Linked DNA regions of Kluyveromyces lactis. Each later gene encodes a partner of the first gene's protein in a complex. Links are inferred from orthologs where the notes say so. Each region holds a gene or a part of one and is shown in the gene's direction. Other genes may lie near its edges.

Evidence for each region.
Region 2: MRPL40 (region 1) and MRPL44 share a complex: the UniProt entries of both Saccharomyces cerevisiae proteins name them as parts of the mitochondrial large ribosomal subunit. The link is inferred for Kluyveromyces lactis from reciprocal best matches to the Saccharomyces cerevisiae genes MRPL40 and MRPL44.
Region 3: MRPL40 (region 1) and MRPL23 share a complex: the UniProt entries of both Saccharomyces cerevisiae proteins name them as parts of the mitochondrial large ribosomal subunit. The link is inferred for Kluyveromyces lactis from reciprocal best matches to the Saccharomyces cerevisiae genes MRPL40 and MRPL23.
Region 4: MRPL40 (region 1) and RTC6 share a complex: the UniProt entries of both Saccharomyces cerevisiae proteins name them as parts of the mitochondrial large ribosomal subunit. The link is inferred for Kluyveromyces lactis from reciprocal best matches to the Saccharomyces cerevisiae genes MRPL40 and RTC6.
Region 5: MRPL40 (region 1) and MRPL11 share a complex: the UniProt entries of both Saccharomyces cerevisiae proteins name them as parts of the mitochondrial large ribosomal subunit. The link is inferred for Kluyveromyces lactis from reciprocal best matches to the Saccharomyces cerevisiae genes MRPL40 and MRPL11.
Region 6: MRPL40 (region 1) and MRP49 share a complex: the UniProt entries of both Saccharomyces cerevisiae proteins name them as parts of the mitochondrial large ribosomal subunit. The link is inferred for Kluyveromyces lactis from reciprocal best matches to the Saccharomyces cerevisiae genes MRPL40 and MRP49.
Region 7: MRPL40 (region 1) and MRPL24 share a complex: the UniProt entries of both Saccharomyces cerevisiae proteins name them as parts of the mitochondrial large ribosomal subunit. The link is inferred for Kluyveromyces lactis from reciprocal best matches to the Saccharomyces cerevisiae genes MRPL40 and MRPL24.

Annotation. Positions count from the first base shown.
Region 1 is NC_006039.1:835,165-837,803, reverse strand, and holds MRPL40 (mitochondrial 54S ribosomal protein uL24m), read left to right. Parts: upstream 1-1,248; coding exon 1,249-2,139; downstream 2,140-2,639. Other genes in the region: NIP100 (Nip100p), read right to left, coding at 1-175; CDC31 (centrin), read left to right, coding at 444-947; HNT3 (DNA 5'-adenosine monophosphate hydrolase), read left to right, coding at 2,371-2,639. UniProt on the Saccharomyces cerevisiae protein: Component of the mitochondrial ribosome (mitoribosome), a dedicated translation machinery responsible for the synthesis of mitochondrial genome-encoded proteins, including at least some of the essential transmembrane subunits of the mitochondrial respiratory chain.
Region 2 is NC_006039.1:594,946-597,180, forward strand, and holds MRPL44 (mitochondrial 54S ribosomal protein mL53), read left to right. Parts: upstream 1-1,306; coding exon 1,307-1,364; intron 1,365-1,496; coding exon 1,497-1,735; downstream 1,736-2,235. Other genes in the region: DNA-directed RNA polymerase II subunit RPB7, read right to left, coding at 235-750; rRNA-processing protein RRP36, read left to right, coding at 2,084-2,235. UniProt on the Saccharomyces cerevisiae protein: Component of the mitochondrial ribosome (mitoribosome), a dedicated translation machinery responsible for the synthesis of mitochondrial genome-encoded proteins, including at least some of the essential transmembrane subunits of the mitochondrial respiratory chain.
Region 3 is NC_006040.1:210,632-212,858, forward strand, and holds MRPL23 (mitochondrial 54S ribosomal protein uL13m), read left to right. Parts: upstream 1-1,259; coding exon 1,260-1,727; downstream 1,728-2,227. Other genes in the region: protein disulfide isomerase MPD1, read left to right, coding at 1-984; CRN1 (coronin), read right to left, coding at 2,072-2,227. UniProt on the Saccharomyces cerevisiae protein: Component of the mitochondrial ribosome (mitoribosome), a dedicated translation machinery responsible for the synthesis of mitochondrial genome-encoded proteins, including at least some of the essential transmembrane subunits of the mitochondrial respiratory chain.
Region 4 is NC_006041.1:1,683,425-1,685,659, reverse strand, and holds RTC6 (mitochondrial 54S ribosomal protein bL36m), read left to right. Parts: upstream 1-1,492; coding exon 1,493-1,735; downstream 1,736-2,235. Other genes in the region: kinetochore-microtubule binding complex subunit SPC105, read right to left, coding at 1-909; tRNA (34-2'-O)-methyltransferase regulator RTT10, read right to left, coding at 1,913-2,235. UniProt on the Saccharomyces cerevisiae protein: Component of the mitochondrial ribosome (mitoribosome), a dedicated translation machinery responsible for the synthesis of mitochondrial genome-encoded proteins, including at least some of the essential transmembrane subunits of the mitochondrial respiratory chain.
Region 5 is NC_006037.1:292,829-295,225, reverse strand, and holds MRPL11 (mitochondrial 54S ribosomal protein uL10m), read left to right. Parts: upstream 1-1,159; coding exon 1,160-1,897; downstream 1,898-2,397. Other genes in the region: KLLA0_A03289g (putative nitronate monooxygenase), read left to right, coding at 1-401; TRM8 (tRNA (guanine46-N7)-methyltransferase), read left to right, coding at 2,211-2,397. UniProt on the Saccharomyces cerevisiae protein: Component of the mitochondrial ribosome (mitoribosome), a dedicated translation machinery responsible for the synthesis of mitochondrial genome-encoded proteins, including at least some of the essential transmembrane subunits of the mitochondrial respiratory chain.
Region 6 is NC_006038.1:623,044-625,116, reverse strand, and holds MRP49 (mitochondrial 54S ribosomal protein mL61), read left to right. Parts: upstream 1-1,180; coding exon 1,181-1,573; downstream 1,574-2,073. Other genes in the region: KLLA0_B07205g (cAMP-dependent protein kinase), read left to right, coding at 1-511; RKM3 (protein-lysine N-methyltransferase), read left to right, coding at 2,065-2,073. UniProt on the Saccharomyces cerevisiae protein: Component of the mitochondrial ribosome (mitoribosome), a dedicated translation machinery responsible for the synthesis of mitochondrial genome-encoded proteins, including at least some of the essential transmembrane subunits of the mitochondrial respiratory chain.
Region 7 is NC_006040.1:1,064,461-1,067,009, reverse strand, and holds MRPL24 (mitochondrial 54S ribosomal protein bL28m), read left to right. Parts: upstream 1-1,281; coding exon 1,282-2,049; downstream 2,050-2,549. Other genes in the region: KLLA0_D12584g (uncharacterized protein), read left to right, coding at 1-978. UniProt on the Saccharomyces cerevisiae protein: Component of the mitochondrial ribosome (mitoribosome), a dedicated translation machinery responsible for the synthesis of mitochondrial genome-encoded proteins, including at least some of the essential transmembrane subunits of the mitochondrial respiratory chain.

The DNA of each region.
Region 1 (2,639 bases):
TACCCTCACTGAGTTCAAAGTACCTGACTCCCTTGACGCTACCATCGTTCTTCCCTAAGGGTTCATCTAACTCAACACCGATCCAAATCCCCGCTGCAAACTGCGTCTCGCCTATAAACCGTACAGTTCCTGCCAGGCTGCGTAGCACTACCCTATCTCCTAATTCCAGATCCATTGTTTCATTTTAGAACTAAAGAGTAGTTGATCTGGCAGTACTGTAAGGTATTCATCAGTTATTGCCTTCATTTCTTTCAGGATATGTGTTTATGTTCCTTAAACTCAATATTGTCAAAATAATCATAAACATGAAATCTTTAAACATATTTTAAAGAAGTTTCACGAAGTTTACGCGTGCAGCAAAAGAGGTAAATTAAGAGGTTCGATTGACTTACAGCCAAGACTCACAACGGCAAGAAATCTAACCCAATTCGGATCATAGAAACATGAATAACAGAAGGCCCAGTGGACGAGTAGCGAAATCCGTGGATAAATCCACTTTACAAAAGGAATTATTAGAAGAACAGAAACAAGAAATATACGAGGCGTTCTCACTCTTTGATATGAACAATGATGGATATCTCGACTATCATGAATTCAAAGTCGCTCTAAGGGCATTGGGTTTTGAACTCAGTAAAGGAGACATATTAGAACTTATCGATAGGTATGATGCAGACGGACGCCGGTTAATACAATACGAGGATTTTTACCTGGTAGTAGGAGAAAAAATATTGCAAAGAGACCCATTGGATGAAATTAAACGTGCCTTCAGGCTATTCGACGATGATAACACGGGCAAGATCTCATTGAAGAATTTGAAACGTGTAGCTCACGAACTAGGTGAAAACCTTACAGACGAAGAACTACGTGCCATGATTGATGAGTTTGATCTTGACGATGACGGAGAGATCAATGAAGAAGAGTTCATTGCTATATGCACTGACAATTAGTGCTTCACGACCATTTCCATTGCCACAGCTGGAGCCCTGTGCCGCATGTATATCTCACCTTGTATATCCTATGTAACATCAAGCTATAATACTAAATCAAATGCGAAGAATCTGATAGTCTAATTCGGATCACGTGCTTTCATTTTTCCCTTCCAAAAAAATTTGTCGATGAAAAACTTGAAGGAACGGAATCAAGAAAGACATATGTATCAATATGGTACTATGGAATGAACCACAAATGGTTTATGTTCTGTGAAAAGGACGGTGGTATTCGATACTAGAATAAAATAGATCAGCGGGTATGTCTTCATATAAACATTTATCGAAGGCTGGTGCCCGTTTTTTGGAGCAAGTTCAAGCGAAGAACTCTAATATTGCGAAACAATTTGCCAAGTATGAAGGTTTGACGATGCCAGAGTTCTTGAAACCATCGTTGCCTCGTGTCGAAGAATCCGAGAAGTATAAGAGTGTAAAGCAATGGAAATATATGCCAGGTGATAGAGTGGTGATAGTAAATGGAAAGTTTAAGGGCAATGTTTGTGCCATTACGCAGCACGACGTGCATACAAACGGGTATATTTTGGATGAGAATGGACCCACCAACACTGTTCCTGTGCCCAAGCAATTTTGGCAACAGGGGCAGAACAGTCATATGGTGAGTTTCCCTGTCCCCGTGAGCCAAGCGGACATCAAACTAGTCGCTGATCTCGATGATCCAGAGACTCCAGGTGTGGCTAAGACTGTTGCTGTTCGTGACATCGAATTCAAGGGTTCGTATTATGATTCAGATTACAAGAAAATTATGCCATATAGGGTTGTTGTTGGTGAGAACAATATGGTTGTTCCATGGCCTAAGCCGGAGTTCAAGCCAGATGGTGCATTGGCTACGCGTTCTGAAATTGCACGTCAACAAACTTTCTGGGTTGAAAGCGTAGTAAAAAATCCTGTTCCAGAAGCAGCATTGTCAACCATCCGTAACCCTAAGTCGAAATACAGAAGAGGTACCTTGACAACGAAGGAAATATCAAGATTGGTGGCTCCAAAAATGCCTCTAACGGAAGCAAAGAAAAGATACATCGAACAAAGAAAAGAATTGGCAGCATTGCCAAAACGTAAATTGACTGATGAAGATCAAGAATTGATTGGTGACAAGGTCTACCAACACTTCAAGAAATCTTTCGAATTACAATAAGAATAAATAATAGTTTTGGCTAGCACTTAACTGCCATTCGTATCCACGCTACTTGTACATAGATCATAATATCATACTTCATCGCACTTTTATCTGACTTTTTTTTTTACTACATGTTTATTTTGAATGGAAATCTATACGTAAAGGTCATTACTTGTAGTAACAGACCTCAACAATTTATGATTATAGTAATGACTAAATGATTAGATAACTGTTACTAGTTCATAACAAATGGATGAGTGCGGTCCAATATATGTTATAGAATGGAAGGAAAGTCCAGGCGATCAATGGACTATCTCAGATAAATCGGGGTTTACGACTCATTTATTCAAATTAAATGAAGACGCCAACAAAGATATTGTGTACTGTAAACATTGCCGAAAGCAGTTCATCGGCAAGAACAGAGATTTAATTGGTTTCCATATGAACAAAATCCATCCACAAATCACAACTGGAATGACTTATAATCAGTATCTGCAGATTTTCAAACCCACTTATGT
Region 2 (2,235 bases), about 240 kb from region 1:
GTTTGTGCTTGGTACAATCAAAAAATTAATGTGACGCTATTATTAATTGCTGAGAAAAAGAAAGTACATTGACCATGCTGCTTGTTAAATTAGTTTGTTCTTTTATATTATACAAAATGCTCACAAATGAAGCAGATAACAATGATGACCGGAATTTGGAAATTTATGTCCAAAGCTATATATAGTCATAGTTGCGATTAGGTGAAAAATGTGAAAGGTTCTAGGAAAGAAATATCATATCACCCCCAAATAATCTTCCTTGATACTGCCAATGGCGTAAATAGAGTTGACTTCCGATCTTGCACCGACGATTTTTAATCTTACTCTAGATCCTTTAGTAATAATTTGTTCTGATGATTGATATGATGGAGGATTGGAACCACTGTTGAAAGTCAAATCTTCTGGCATCAAAAAAGGGGAAACGAAGACAGACAAAGGTCCAACTTCCACTTCAAAACCTAAGTTTGTACAACTAGATACGATACCATCAAGAACTTCTCCCTTGAAAGGTTTCCATACCACAGCTCTATATTTAACAGTAAACTCTGCTGACCCGTCCGTAGGCAAAATCCGTCCACGTTCAATCTCGATATTTTCACAGTCTAAAACACATAGGATATATCCGAATTTACCGGTACATGTTCCTTCCACCTCTTGTAGTAGCTTTGTCATCAAATATCTCTTCATCTGAGGTCCAAAGAATGATGGATGAAGCGTTATATTCAACGACAAATCTTTGAAGAAAAACATGGCTCTGTAGTTTATTTCGCTTCTATAAAAAAGATACTGGTCCTTCAGGCAATAAGATCAAGTTAAAGTATAGTTACAATCAAACTGAAAGTCCAATTCGAATATGAATAGTTCCTTTTTAAAAAGCTTGCCAATAGATTCACCGTATCAACGGCTGTTACAATTGAATAAACGAATGAAAAACAACCCGCACTTAGTTCAACCTGCAAACAATTAAAGGCGAGTACCTTATATCGACCTTAAATAACAATCCAAGGATCCTAAAAACCGATTGTGCTAAAAGCAGTCTTGCTTCATTTGCAAATATTGAAGTTGTTCATTTTGCAATTGGATGTTTCTTTCAATATTTTTCATTTCGTCAAACATCGCCCAAAAACATTCAAAAACTATCCGGGTAATAGTATAGCCTCTGATGAGATCGCTATTACCATTTAAACAGTTTTAGGCAAAAAGCTAGAGATGAATACAGCTGTGAAGTATGTTTTTGGATGAGGACGTCTCATCAGAGTAATACTTGGGAGTTTGTCAGCTGTTGTCAAGAGAACTATAGAGCAACATGATCACGAAATATTTTACTAAGGCAGTTGTGAAATTCAATCCATTAGGAAAGGAAGGTATGTCTTCAAAGAAAGAGAAATCATTAGTTGGACATCATTTAAAACTACCGAACACCATTACTAACATAATATGATTTACGGTTGTTTTACTATTAAAACATCAATCGTCTCATTTATCTTCATCTACAGCCAAGACAGCTAGGTTGTTCTTAAGTGCTATTCCTCCTTCACAAAGAACAAGTGGATTACAATTGCAAAACGAAGTTTTGGTTTCTGGCTCTAATAAGAAACCTACAGTGAAAGTTACTTTCAAAGATAAAACTGAATTGGAAGCTGATCCAAGCAGTATGAACTTCATGGAACTAGGGAACTACTTTGATCGTCATTCAAGAAAATTGGCCCTAAAGGAAAGTATTGAATCTCAATGATTTCTTGTGACGAGATACCCATCACAAAATTCATGTATATATAACAATAAGTAAAAGAAATTTAATGTAGTATAAGATATAAAACACTACAATGCTTCAGTGGATTAAATTGAGTCAACGCTGTTGGTATGATCACAGACCTTATTATTTGAAGCTCCCTTCCTGTCCATTATTCATTTACATCGCCTGAATAGGAATTTCAAGTTTCTTCCAGATATTGAAAATTTTATACGGTGCCAATGCAGAAGCGATGAGCTAAACTTAAAATCAAGAAGAACTTCTATGTAGAAGCGACTGATAACTAACCTGTAAGCAGCCACGGCCACAAAAACTACCAGTAATATACAAATGTCATTTTACTTCAAGAATATCAAGCCAGATCTTCATTCAGGAAACGAAGATGAGGAAGATGACATAGCATCAATCATAAGAATAAACGATACAAGTGATGCAGAAGGTTCACAAAGCGAAGATGAGCTAAAGACACTCTCATTTGGATC
Region 3 (2,227 bases), on another chromosome or scaffold:
ATGTACACACGTCTTCTATATGCATTGTTTTTGTTGGTCGAACTGGCGTTCGGAGCCAATTTCTACGACCGTGATGAGAATATCATGGAATTGACACCTTCTAACTTCGATAAAGTCATTCATAGGACCAATTACACCACTTTGGTCATGTTTTATGCTCCGTGGTGTGGTTACTGTCAGGAATTGAAAGGTTCCATGAAATCTGCCGGTAAAATCCTCTCTGGAATGGTACAAGTTGCTGGAGTGAACTGTGATGAAAGTGTGAATAAACAATTATGTGCACAGAACAGAGTATCGGGGTTCCCAACGTTAATGGTATTCAGGCCTCCAAAGATCAATTTGGATAACCCAAAGAAAAATTCCAATGGTGCTGCGTCACAGCATGCCACAGAAGTGTACAAGGGAGAAAGGAAATTGAAGCCCATTGTCGATTTCGCTTTATCTAGAGTGAAAAACTACGTGAAGCGGTTGAACCGTTACAGTAAGTTCGAAGAACTATTAAAATCTTCAAGAACCAGGTACGCTGTAGTGCTTATCTCAAAGAAGGAGAAGATTCCAACTTTATATAAATCTGTAGCCCTCGATTGGCTTGGGATCTACGATTTCTATTCGATCTGGGACGAGAAATTGCAAGGCGTGTCACAATTGAGTTTTGAGAACGATACAAAGAATTGGCCAAATACTGTTAAATACCTCCAATCGTTAGAAAAAAGTGAAACTGAATTACAATCGCCCAGAATCGTAGTGATAGATAGAGAAACAGATACTTATGACGAACTAGACATATTAAAAACTACAGATAAAAATGACATTGCAACGTTCCTTTCGAAATTCGAGTCAAAACCAAGGGAAGGTCCACTCAGTAAGAGACAAGAATACCTCAAATCTATTTTGAATAAATCAAAGTCAAAGAAGTCCAAGACTAAAAAGAACAAACAGAAGACTAAACTTACGAAGGACGACATAGTTCAGGATGAGTTGTAGGTATTTGTTAGTAGCTTGTATATAGATTGTGTTTAACATCCGGGTAACAGTAATATGAGCGATTGAAAAAAATTTGGCTCCAAGCTGAAATTAAACATCAATTAATCAAATCGATTGTCAAGCTAAACATATGATGAGTTAAAAGACAACTGACTGTCCCGAACTATCCCTTTACCTAAGTGATTACAGTTGAATAGCATCACTTAAAATTTAACTTTTTAGGTGCCACGTTTTAACCTGTCAGAAAGGAGGCAAAATAACAATATATTAGAAGTATGTCTCAAAAGGTAGGACATACTGGTTTGGCATTTGCCAGGATGTGGCATCATGTTGATATATCCAAGGACAAGAGAACGCTTGGTAGGGTGGCATCTCAGGTTGCTCTAGCGTTAATGGGGAAGCACAAGCCAGTGTATCATCCATCTGCTGATTGCGGTGATTATGTTGTGGTAACGAACTGCCAAGCTTTGCGTGTGACGGGGAACAAGATGACCCAAAAGACGTACTGGTCGCATACTTCTAGACCAGGTTCATTAAAGTTGACTACAATGGAAGACATGATCAGTAACAAGGGTTACAGTGAAGTTTTGAAGAAGGCTGTGTCCGGAATGCTTCCCAAGAATAAACTTCGTAAGATCAGACTTGCTAGATTAAAAATTTTCGATGGAAGTGAACATCCATACAAGAGTAATATCACCGCATTTGCTGATCAGCAACTAGAGCTGCAACACCAGAAGAAATAGTGTGGATGAATTTTTATGTGACTTCTTAATTTTTGAGAAGTTAACGGCAGCATGTGATGTAAAATCCCTGTATATATTATTATTCGATCTAAATGGTTCTCCTTAGTACGCATACAATGTCTGTCGTTTTTCACTGTACTAAACTCTTCCACTTTACTATGTACATATAGATTGTTATTTAGATATGTTAATTATCACATACAAATCACATACAAATCACATACAGAGATAGAAAAGATATTACATCGCAGTATGCCAAAGCATAATACTTTTGCCTGGAAGAAAGAACATTTAACAGAACAAAAACGAGAAGAATTAGGGAAGGATGTATTTCATATTTGATATTATTTCCCTTGCTCCAAAAGACGATCTACTTTTGCTTCCAAAGCAGCAAGAATTTCATCTTTGCGGGTATTTTCCTCGGTTAATTTATCAATATAGCTTTCCAACTTTAGAACTAATCCAGATAATGTTTCTACAGATTGTCTCAAATTGAGAGA
Region 4 (2,235 bases), on another chromosome or scaffold:
CACTGGTACCTGCAATTTGACCGGAGACTGATAACCACCGTTAGATAATTTCCTTCTTTTTGACTGCGGGAGTTGAGTTGGTTCTAGTTGAGTTGAAGAAACTATCTGTGACTCTCGCATCTCCAGAGGAGCCTGCACGTTTGTAAATTCCATTGTTTCCTCTGTAATTGCTGGTATCTTAGGTAATTTGAAAGCAGATTCTGAATCTGCATCTAGCGTAGGTTTTTCTGCATCCATCCGTATTTGGTCAGTTATTTCCATAGACTCTTCTTCGTTAAAGCGGCGTTTCTGCGGTTCTGTAAGGTCCATTGTTTCCTCCAAAACTTGGTCTTCGTTACCATTCTCTTCTTCTTCTTCCGCAGCAGTAGAGGTTTCTTGCGGTACCACATTATCGTCTGGTTTAGCGCTATGTTTTGCAAATAACTGTGTTATATCCATTGAAACCTCTTTGTCGAACACAGGTTGGTACCCATCATTTTTCGGTTCGCTTGGAGACTCCAATTTTTGGAATATTGAACCTATCGGACTAGTAAATTCCATTGTTTCTCCAGAATTGTCGTTATCATTTTTGGTATCGGCCATAGAGGCTTCAGCTACTGCCACTTCCAATTTTAAAGCGGATTTCCTTCGAGGTTCCCTTACATTTTGAATCGATTGTGGTATGAATTCGAACTTGTGCAAAGTCACATCTGGTGCAAAGGACACACGGCGATTTCCCTTCGAAATCGCAGCACTGATCCGGGATGTCGTATTGTTTCCGTCCAGTATATCTTCTTTGGTAATTCCCTCAGTAGGAAACTGTATCTGGGACATAGTCAAATTATGACTGGTGTTAGTTGTATCATCATCCTTAAATTTTTGCTTAAGGATACTTCTCGGAAGCAAAGACAATCGTTTTGGATCTGTCATATGAAGCGAGACTATCAACACAGGGTGAAATATGATAATAAATGGAAACTTAACCTAAATATTAGTCCTTAAGTTTATGATGATTCGGTATTTGTGTGTCAATATATTGATCTAAAATTCGATTGTTTACGTTTTCGAAGTTCAATGTTTTCGATTCAGAGCGCTGCTGCACATACAGTGAGAACCGAGAAAAAGGATAAAACAACTGCCTTGAAGAGTCTCTTAGAAAGGATGGGTGTACTTCATCAATTATTTATTTGTTAGTGATTCGAAACGGTCTTCAGATTTGCCCAAAGATGTTCACTAGATGAGGATGTTCAAGATCTCAGGTCATAACCATCACGTGCTATAGTCCGGGTAAATATCTTAATCTCCATTGAAACTATTTTGAAAAATTATCGAAGGCCTTTTCATGGTAGATCATCAGCTATAGAGGGCATGTTCAGTCGGTGTGATGCCTTATTGACGATTGTGGACTCCATTAGTACGTTTCAAGACCGTGGGTGATATCAAAAACTGAAAACTCTTCACAGGTATAACTCTGGAGCCCGATATAATATAAAGAGAGGGAAATACATACATAATGAGCACACTTTTCGGAAGTACGATGTTGAACTCGTTGACAAGACTGACAAGGCCAGCTGTGAAAAGTATCAATATGCTATCTATGCCAATGATGGGTCTTATGAACCCTCCTTTGACCAGAGGTTTTAAGGTAAGAACTTCCATCAAGAAGTTCTGTAACGATTGTTACATGGTTAGACGTAAGGGCAGAGTGTACGTTTACTGTAAGTCCAATAAGAAGCATAAACAACGTCAAGGTTGAATTACAATCGCCCTCCCATTCGTCCCAATCTTTCATGTATATAGATAAGTCATAATGGAGGATGTGTTCTTTTCTTGAATGTGGAAAAATGCAGCCTTCTTTCTATAAATAATTTCCATTCTATACTAATAAACTGGTTTTAAATATATAAAATTCTGAAGTTTAGATGGTTAGATATTATTCATCTCGCCAACAGGAAAGTCCTAATCCTCCTATTAATATAAGTGTTTTCTGGACGTTTGGTAACGTAACTATATCACTGGAACCGGTATCTGCTACTGTGGTATATTTGCTCTCCGTTATTTTCAGTTTGTCATTCGTAATGTCCCTAATTCTTATGACCTGGTCCACTGATGTAGCCAATAATTTTGTGTCATTATCTAACAGATTCACTGATGTTACTGTTGATGAAGCAGCATACGAATCGTGATCTAGTATTTCGGCTTTCATCGTGTAGTTGTCATTGTTCGTAAATTTAGTGATGGCTACAGCATTGTCAT
Region 5 (2,397 bases), on another chromosome or scaffold:
GTCAAGATATTAAAGGAATGATGGAAGTAGGTGCCAGTGGTGCTCAATTAGGAACCGCATTTGTCCAATGCAAAGAATCGGCTGCGTCAGAAAATTACAGGAAATTATTATTTGACAAAACAAGAAATGACATAACTCAAATCACAAGCAGCATATCAGGTCGTCCGGCGCGAGCTTTGTTGAATAGTTGGCACACTGAGGTGGATATTCCAACTAGAGTGATACATCCAGGGTATCCATTTACATACGATGTGGGGAAGCAGTTAAATGCCGTGTCTATTCCAGATCATGATGGTACCGCAAATTCTTTCGCAGCACATTGGGCAGGATCCAATGTCAGCCGTATCCGTGATATGGATGCGAGACAACTAATGCAAACCCTTGTCGATGAGATGAGATAATTTTCCAGACCGTTACAGCACAGAGCTATGCTGTTTCAAATGTACGAAAATCCCGAATAGCGACAAATTCCACAATGGAACGATGAAGTTACACTAATTGTGCATTATTCTCGTCAGTTACATGACTGCATTTATTTTTTCAATGACGAAGTAGAGTTGCATCTCTTCACAATTTCACTACGACCCTATAAATCCCGGACTACCTTTTGTAAGGAAGAAATCTAATCTTTCGACATCCCTCCTAGCTTGGACAGGAGACGTCTATAACGGATTACATTATTTAAGCATGATGTTGACGATAGCAATGACAGTTTGCAGTTCGAAAAGAAGAGCAGAACTCACCAATTCCTCTATCATTTTAATTTGAACAGTCACGTGAATCGACCTTTGCCTCATTCGGGATTATATATACTATAAAGAAGATATATAAAAAATTACCAATATACATTTTTTGCTGCCATGGAAAATATACGAGAAAGTCTTCATTCCCTTCTCCATTGTTGATACCGATTTTGGCACTCATACCACTTCCAATTACCATTCATACCTTCTTACATTGAATCTAACTATGCCTCTCGTCGGTTTATTGTACCAAGTATTGAAATTCGACGATACTGAAAAATCTGAAAAAAAATGAAAAATCTGAAAAATCACTGAAGATTGATATATTGTAGTGAAGAGATATATTGGTGGGAATGAATTCGCTTAAAGTGATTCGAATCCACAGCTCAGGTCATCACCAACCACTCAAAATAGCCATGTTGTCACTTTTGTTAAGAAGCCCAGTGGTGGTATCCCGTGTCTCATATGCTTCTCCGTTTTTGGTTAGGAGGTTTGCCTCTACGCAAATTGAGAGAACTGTCTCGGATGCAGTTAGAAGAACAGTAAAGCCTTTGGACTCTCGTAAGACTTTCCTAATCGACTCTTACAAAAACCTGATGGAAACCAGTCCGGTAATGTTGTTTTGTCATCATAACAATTTGATGAAAGGGGAGAATGCACACTTCAGAGAAGAAATTAATAAGGTAGGAGGCAAGTTAACAATCTTGAGAAACAATTTGTTCCAAGTATACTTGAGAAACTCACGCAAAAATGACCCAGCTGCTCCAGCGAAACGTTCAGAACAAGACTGGAAGCATCCTTTACTGCCCTTGTTCAAAGGTCCTACGGCAGCAATTTCGTTCCCAGAGACTGATCCGGCAAAGGTAAAAAAAGTCATGAAATTATTGGAAAAAGCCCAAGACAAGTTATTCGTTATTGGCGCCAAAGTTGAAAATGATGCGTACGATTTGAGACAATTGGATTCTTTCAAGGATCTACCAACAAAAAGTCAATTACAATCAGAATTACTGGGACTATTGCACGTCTTGAGCGGTGCTGGTTTAGTTCAAACTTTAGAAGCTGGCTCAAACATGTTGTACCTAACTCTAAAGTCTCACGAAGATAATATTAACCCAGATAAGCAGAAAAACGAGAATGACAGCGAAGGAAATTAAAGTCTTTTGCCCCATCATGAAATGTAATATAAATCATTTTTACGTATCGATGTACTTAAATAAACCCATCACATATTAATATAAACTCCTGTACATATTCTTTGCACGTGACTTTTTTTGATCTCATTTGTATATTGTAAAGAAATAAAAAGTTTTTGAACATGCACTGAATCAATTGAGTCGAGAAAACCTAGGCGATGAGGTTACAATTTTTCAAAGCAGTTACTTCCACCAACCGTTAATGTGTGTTGAATAAACATAATTGAATTCTAACAGTGACTCAAATTTCCTATAACTGCCTTTGTTAGAAAATATGAGTTTTAGTACTAGACGCCAGGCGTATCGTGCTGAGAAGCAAGATCATCGCAAAGAATTGAAACATGTCAAGATCGATGAATCTGTGATTGAAAAGGTGGATAAACTATCTTTACCTAAAAAAAAGTTTTACAGACAAAGAGCACATTCGAATCCATTCAGTGATCATCAGTTGGAGTATCCAA
Region 6 (2,073 bases), on another chromosome or scaffold:
TTTCGGGTTCGCTAAATATGTTCCTGATGTCACTTACACTCTCTGTGGAACACCGGACTATATCGCACCTGAAGTGGTAAGCACAAAACCTTACAACAAATCTGTGGATTGGTGGAGTTTTGGTGTTTTAATCTACGAAATGTTAGCAGGATATACACCTTTCTACGATTCAAACACAATTAAGACCTATGAGAATATTCTAAATGCTCCAGTAAGATTCCCACCATTTTTCCATTCTGATGCTCAAGATCTAATATCGAAACTCATCACAAGAGACTTAAGTCAACGGCTAGGTAATTTACAAAATGGAAGTGAGGACGTAAAGAATCATCCGTGGTTCAGCGAGGTTGTGTGGGAAAAACTACTCTGCAAAAACATTGAAACTCCATATGAACCTCCTATTCAGGCCGGACAAGGCGATACCTCTCAATACGATAGGTATCCAGAGGAAGAGGTTAATTATGGCATTCAAGGCGAAGATCCGTACCATAGTATTTTCACCAACTTTTAGCAGGCATACTTGCTCATGAAATTCAGATATCAACATGCCTCTTATCTTGCATCTACACAATATGTAAACTTTAACACGCCTTTCCCCCCGTTAGTCCCTTTTCTTTTTTTTTTTGTTTTGATATATCGGCTCATTGCCTTCAGAAACGCTGCCGTTATTTGATACATTCCTTTGAATGACCATCGTACAATACTAGATGGATTGATGTACGCACTTCCAATTCAAAATTCGTTTCATTCGTTTTGCTGTACTCTCCAATGGATGCTCGATGCAATAATCTTATTTTTGGAGTATTTATCTATCTATAATCAATGGCATTTACATATTTTGAATGCATGTATAAGACTTCATCACAAGTCCTTCCCTCACGATCCATGCTACATAAATTGTAAACTGGGGTAAGTCATGGCACATTCATTTATGTTTTGGACGTAACTTGCTTCTGTCGAATGATTTCACGTGACCAATGAATTTTTTTCCAAACTATTGAAAATTCAAAAAGTTCAGTGGACATGTCCAGTTGAAATGAGAATGATTTTACGAAATAGATGATTGAAGTGATATTGCTGAAAGTGAAGGGTCCTGGTTGCTCTACTTTATCGTCAAGGTTTATTTTACCGATTGGATACTTATACTCATTGTCACTCTAGAGAAGATCATTAATAAATAATGTCAGGAATCGTTAAACAACAAAAATTTTTGAACAAGATCAGTGCGACTACCGTGAAACCTCAAATTATATTAGATGTATCGAAGTACAGTGCATTGAATGTGAAGTTCCAGTATCAGAATTTCAATGGCCATATGGGTGCCCGTAAGTTCTGGCACGAGTTTTTGCCTTCTCTGCAGTTTTACAACCCTGCGTTGCCAATCAATGTGACCAGAATTAGAAACGATGATAAAAAAGTCGATGTACCATGCATACTAGAAGCTATTGGATCCGATGGGAAGGTTGTAGCTGAAGTTTCAATGAAGCACAAACACTCATCTGAAATTATGGATGAAGTGCTACAGAAATTGGAACACAAAAGAGTACCCCAGGAAGAAATAATAAAGGTATGAGCTCCGACCTTTGACAAAGAAAAACAAACAAACTGGAATACCTAAATATACTACTTTCAAAGTTAGGTCCTGTACATATGTATATAATAAGATACTTTTCATCCGATTTGATGTCTTATTCAAATGACATATCCTTTTGAGATGAGTTGACTCTCTGCCCAAGGATCGTCAAGACATTCAAGAACACGCGAGAAGAAGATTTAAAACGCCAGTATATGGTTACCAGGTGGTTATTTAACTTGAATTTCAGAACGCCTCTTACATCTAATTGTCATTAAGACATCTTACATTAACAGCGACTTCTTCATCTGCGGAAATGGTTTTCTGCGTATTGTTCAGTTGAAATTTTTCAATCTCGAAAATGATAAATCGCTTCAGATCTCATCATCTCATCTCATCTCATCGGTTGACCACAGAAATTATCAACACCCCAAAGAGGCATATAGTAGGGGCATTATTCACAGGTGAAGACTCTCAACCCAACAACACGAATGTCTAAT
Region 7 (2,549 bases), on another chromosome or scaffold:
GAAGAATGGCAAGCGTTTTCTCTATTAACGAAACTCATGAAAGTATACGGATTAAGGGATTTATTCTTGCCGGGAATGCCTGGCCTGATGTTGAAATTGTACCAATTTGATACACTTTTGGAGGAAAATGATCCTCAATTGTATAACCATTTGATCAGGCAGGGAATAAGATCTACAATGTTTGCAACTCAATGGTTCCTGACGATGTTCGCATACAAATTTCCCCTTGAATTCGTTCTCAGAATCATGGATATTGTCATACTTGAAGGTATCGAATCGATGCTAAAATTCAGTTTAACGTTGATGTTAAAGAACAGTCGTAATTTGATCATTCTCAGTTTCGATTCTCTCTTAGACTTCTTGAAGGAGGACCTTTTCCAACACTATGCTTCTAAGGAGAACCCAGAAGAGTACGATATTGATAGATTCATCTCTGATTCGTTGGAAATCAAATTAACTCCATTGCAATTGGAGCGTTACGTGAAAGAGTACGATGAGATTCACAAGTTGGAAACGGAAAAGGAACAACAATATGAGGAACAAAGAATTAAAAACAGACAGCTTCAAAAAGAGTTGAAGAAATTAGAAAATGACTATTCGCTATTAAACAGAGAGCATATCACTATTGCCAATGAACTAATTGAAAACAGACTTCGGATGGAAACTCTTCAGGACGAAAATAAGGATTTATTACTAGAGATAGAAGATTTGAAGAAACAACTGGAACGTGAACTTTATAAACAAACGTTACCTAATCCAGATGCTGAAATTCCCACAGATTTGAAAGCAGATTTGAATAGAACAATGGAAAGAAATCTGGAAGTTATGGACGAAAATCAAGAGCTCAGAACACGCCTTGACGAATTAGAAAAAGAGAACTATGAATTACGCACAGGTAAGACTTGGACCAAAGATGCCACCAATCCAAAGGGAAATCGTCTCGGGAATTGGGCTTTCAAATCACCATGGAAGAAATGAGAAAAATTGCAACAGGGACCTCATTCACAATATCCATCCAGCCGTACATATATACATACCCTTCATACATACATGATACCGCCAACCATTACGCAGAGGTGTATTCTAATCATAAATTTCCTTATGCTTTACCATTCTCGCTGTATACGGTTTTGATCTTTCCAAAGCTTATTCAAAATTTTAGAAAATAACGACTTGATACATGCACTAAGGTGAAGAGAAGGAGCTTGAACCTAGTATGAAGCTAGTTGGTCTAAGAGTCTCTGTACGTTCACCAATAAGCACGGAGATCGTTCATCTGGAATGAAGTTTTTTCCAAGTTCCCAAAGAGGGTTTTCCACTCTTAGCCACCTCCTCAGAGAATGGAGATTAGTTGAAAGCAGACAGATCCCAACTCCAAAGACGTATCAAGTCGGCGACAGCAAGCCATTATATATCCCAAAGGAGAAGAAGGAATTCCCTGATTATCCATACGGAGAATCTCCAATTTACAAACAGAGTAACAAAGGTTTATACGGTGCGTCTTTCATCCAATTCGGTAATAACATCGCTGAATCGAAGACAAAAACCAGGAGATCATGGAGTCCAAACGTTATTAGAAAAGGACTATGGAGTGAGACTTTGAACAGAAAGATTAGTATTAAGATGACAGCAAAAGTTTTAAGAACAATTACCAAGGAAGGTGGTATTGACAACTATTTGACTAAGGAAAAGGCCGCCAGAATTAAGGAATTGGGACCTACTGGTTGGAAACTCCGTTACAGACTACTGAACTCTAAGGAAAAAGCTGCCAATCCTGTACATAAGGACGCTGAGACTGTCACAGATGCCAATGGCAACGAAGTCACCGTATTGTACAAAGTTGTTGTCGATGGAGAACCATTGAGAATTACTGCTGGTAAGCGTAAACTATTGCATACCCTTTTCCCATTGGAAAAGATGGAACACAAAGCGGATGGATTAGATCTATCGTTTAAGAAATTCATGGACCAATTTGCTACCCGTGACGTGGCAGACATCGTATCGAGATTAAAGGCCTTGAATTTCGATTTGAGTACGATTACTGTATGAGAACTGAATAGATTTTGTTCCAATTTTATATAAAAGCTTGTAAACAATGAGAAAATAGATTCTACCATGAGCTGGGAGGATGCTTGAAGACTATGCGTTAGTTGTCCGACTGACCGATGCAAGAGTTAATCACCCACTGTTCAATTGAATTGAACGGTGTGCATGTGACTGTTGCACCCAGACATTATTGACTGTTGCACCCATACATACTCAATTTCTGCTGAAAATGAGAATGTTTCCATACTAGGAAATTATTTTCTCATGTCCACCAAATCCGCTGAGCTGACGGTAGGATGCACAGACACATCCCATCCGTCTTCGTTGCTTGCTTCGAGCTGGGCAGGGCCTGTCCCGTTTCCTCCCTAAGCTGGACTGCCCGGTCTGGGCCTGGACATTCCACCAAACTGGCCGCTGGACTGCCCACTTAGACCCCAGGCTAGGCATCTCATGGTTTCCATTCACTTCCCATACCCTCCCAAACACTCCTCCGGGTAATCATC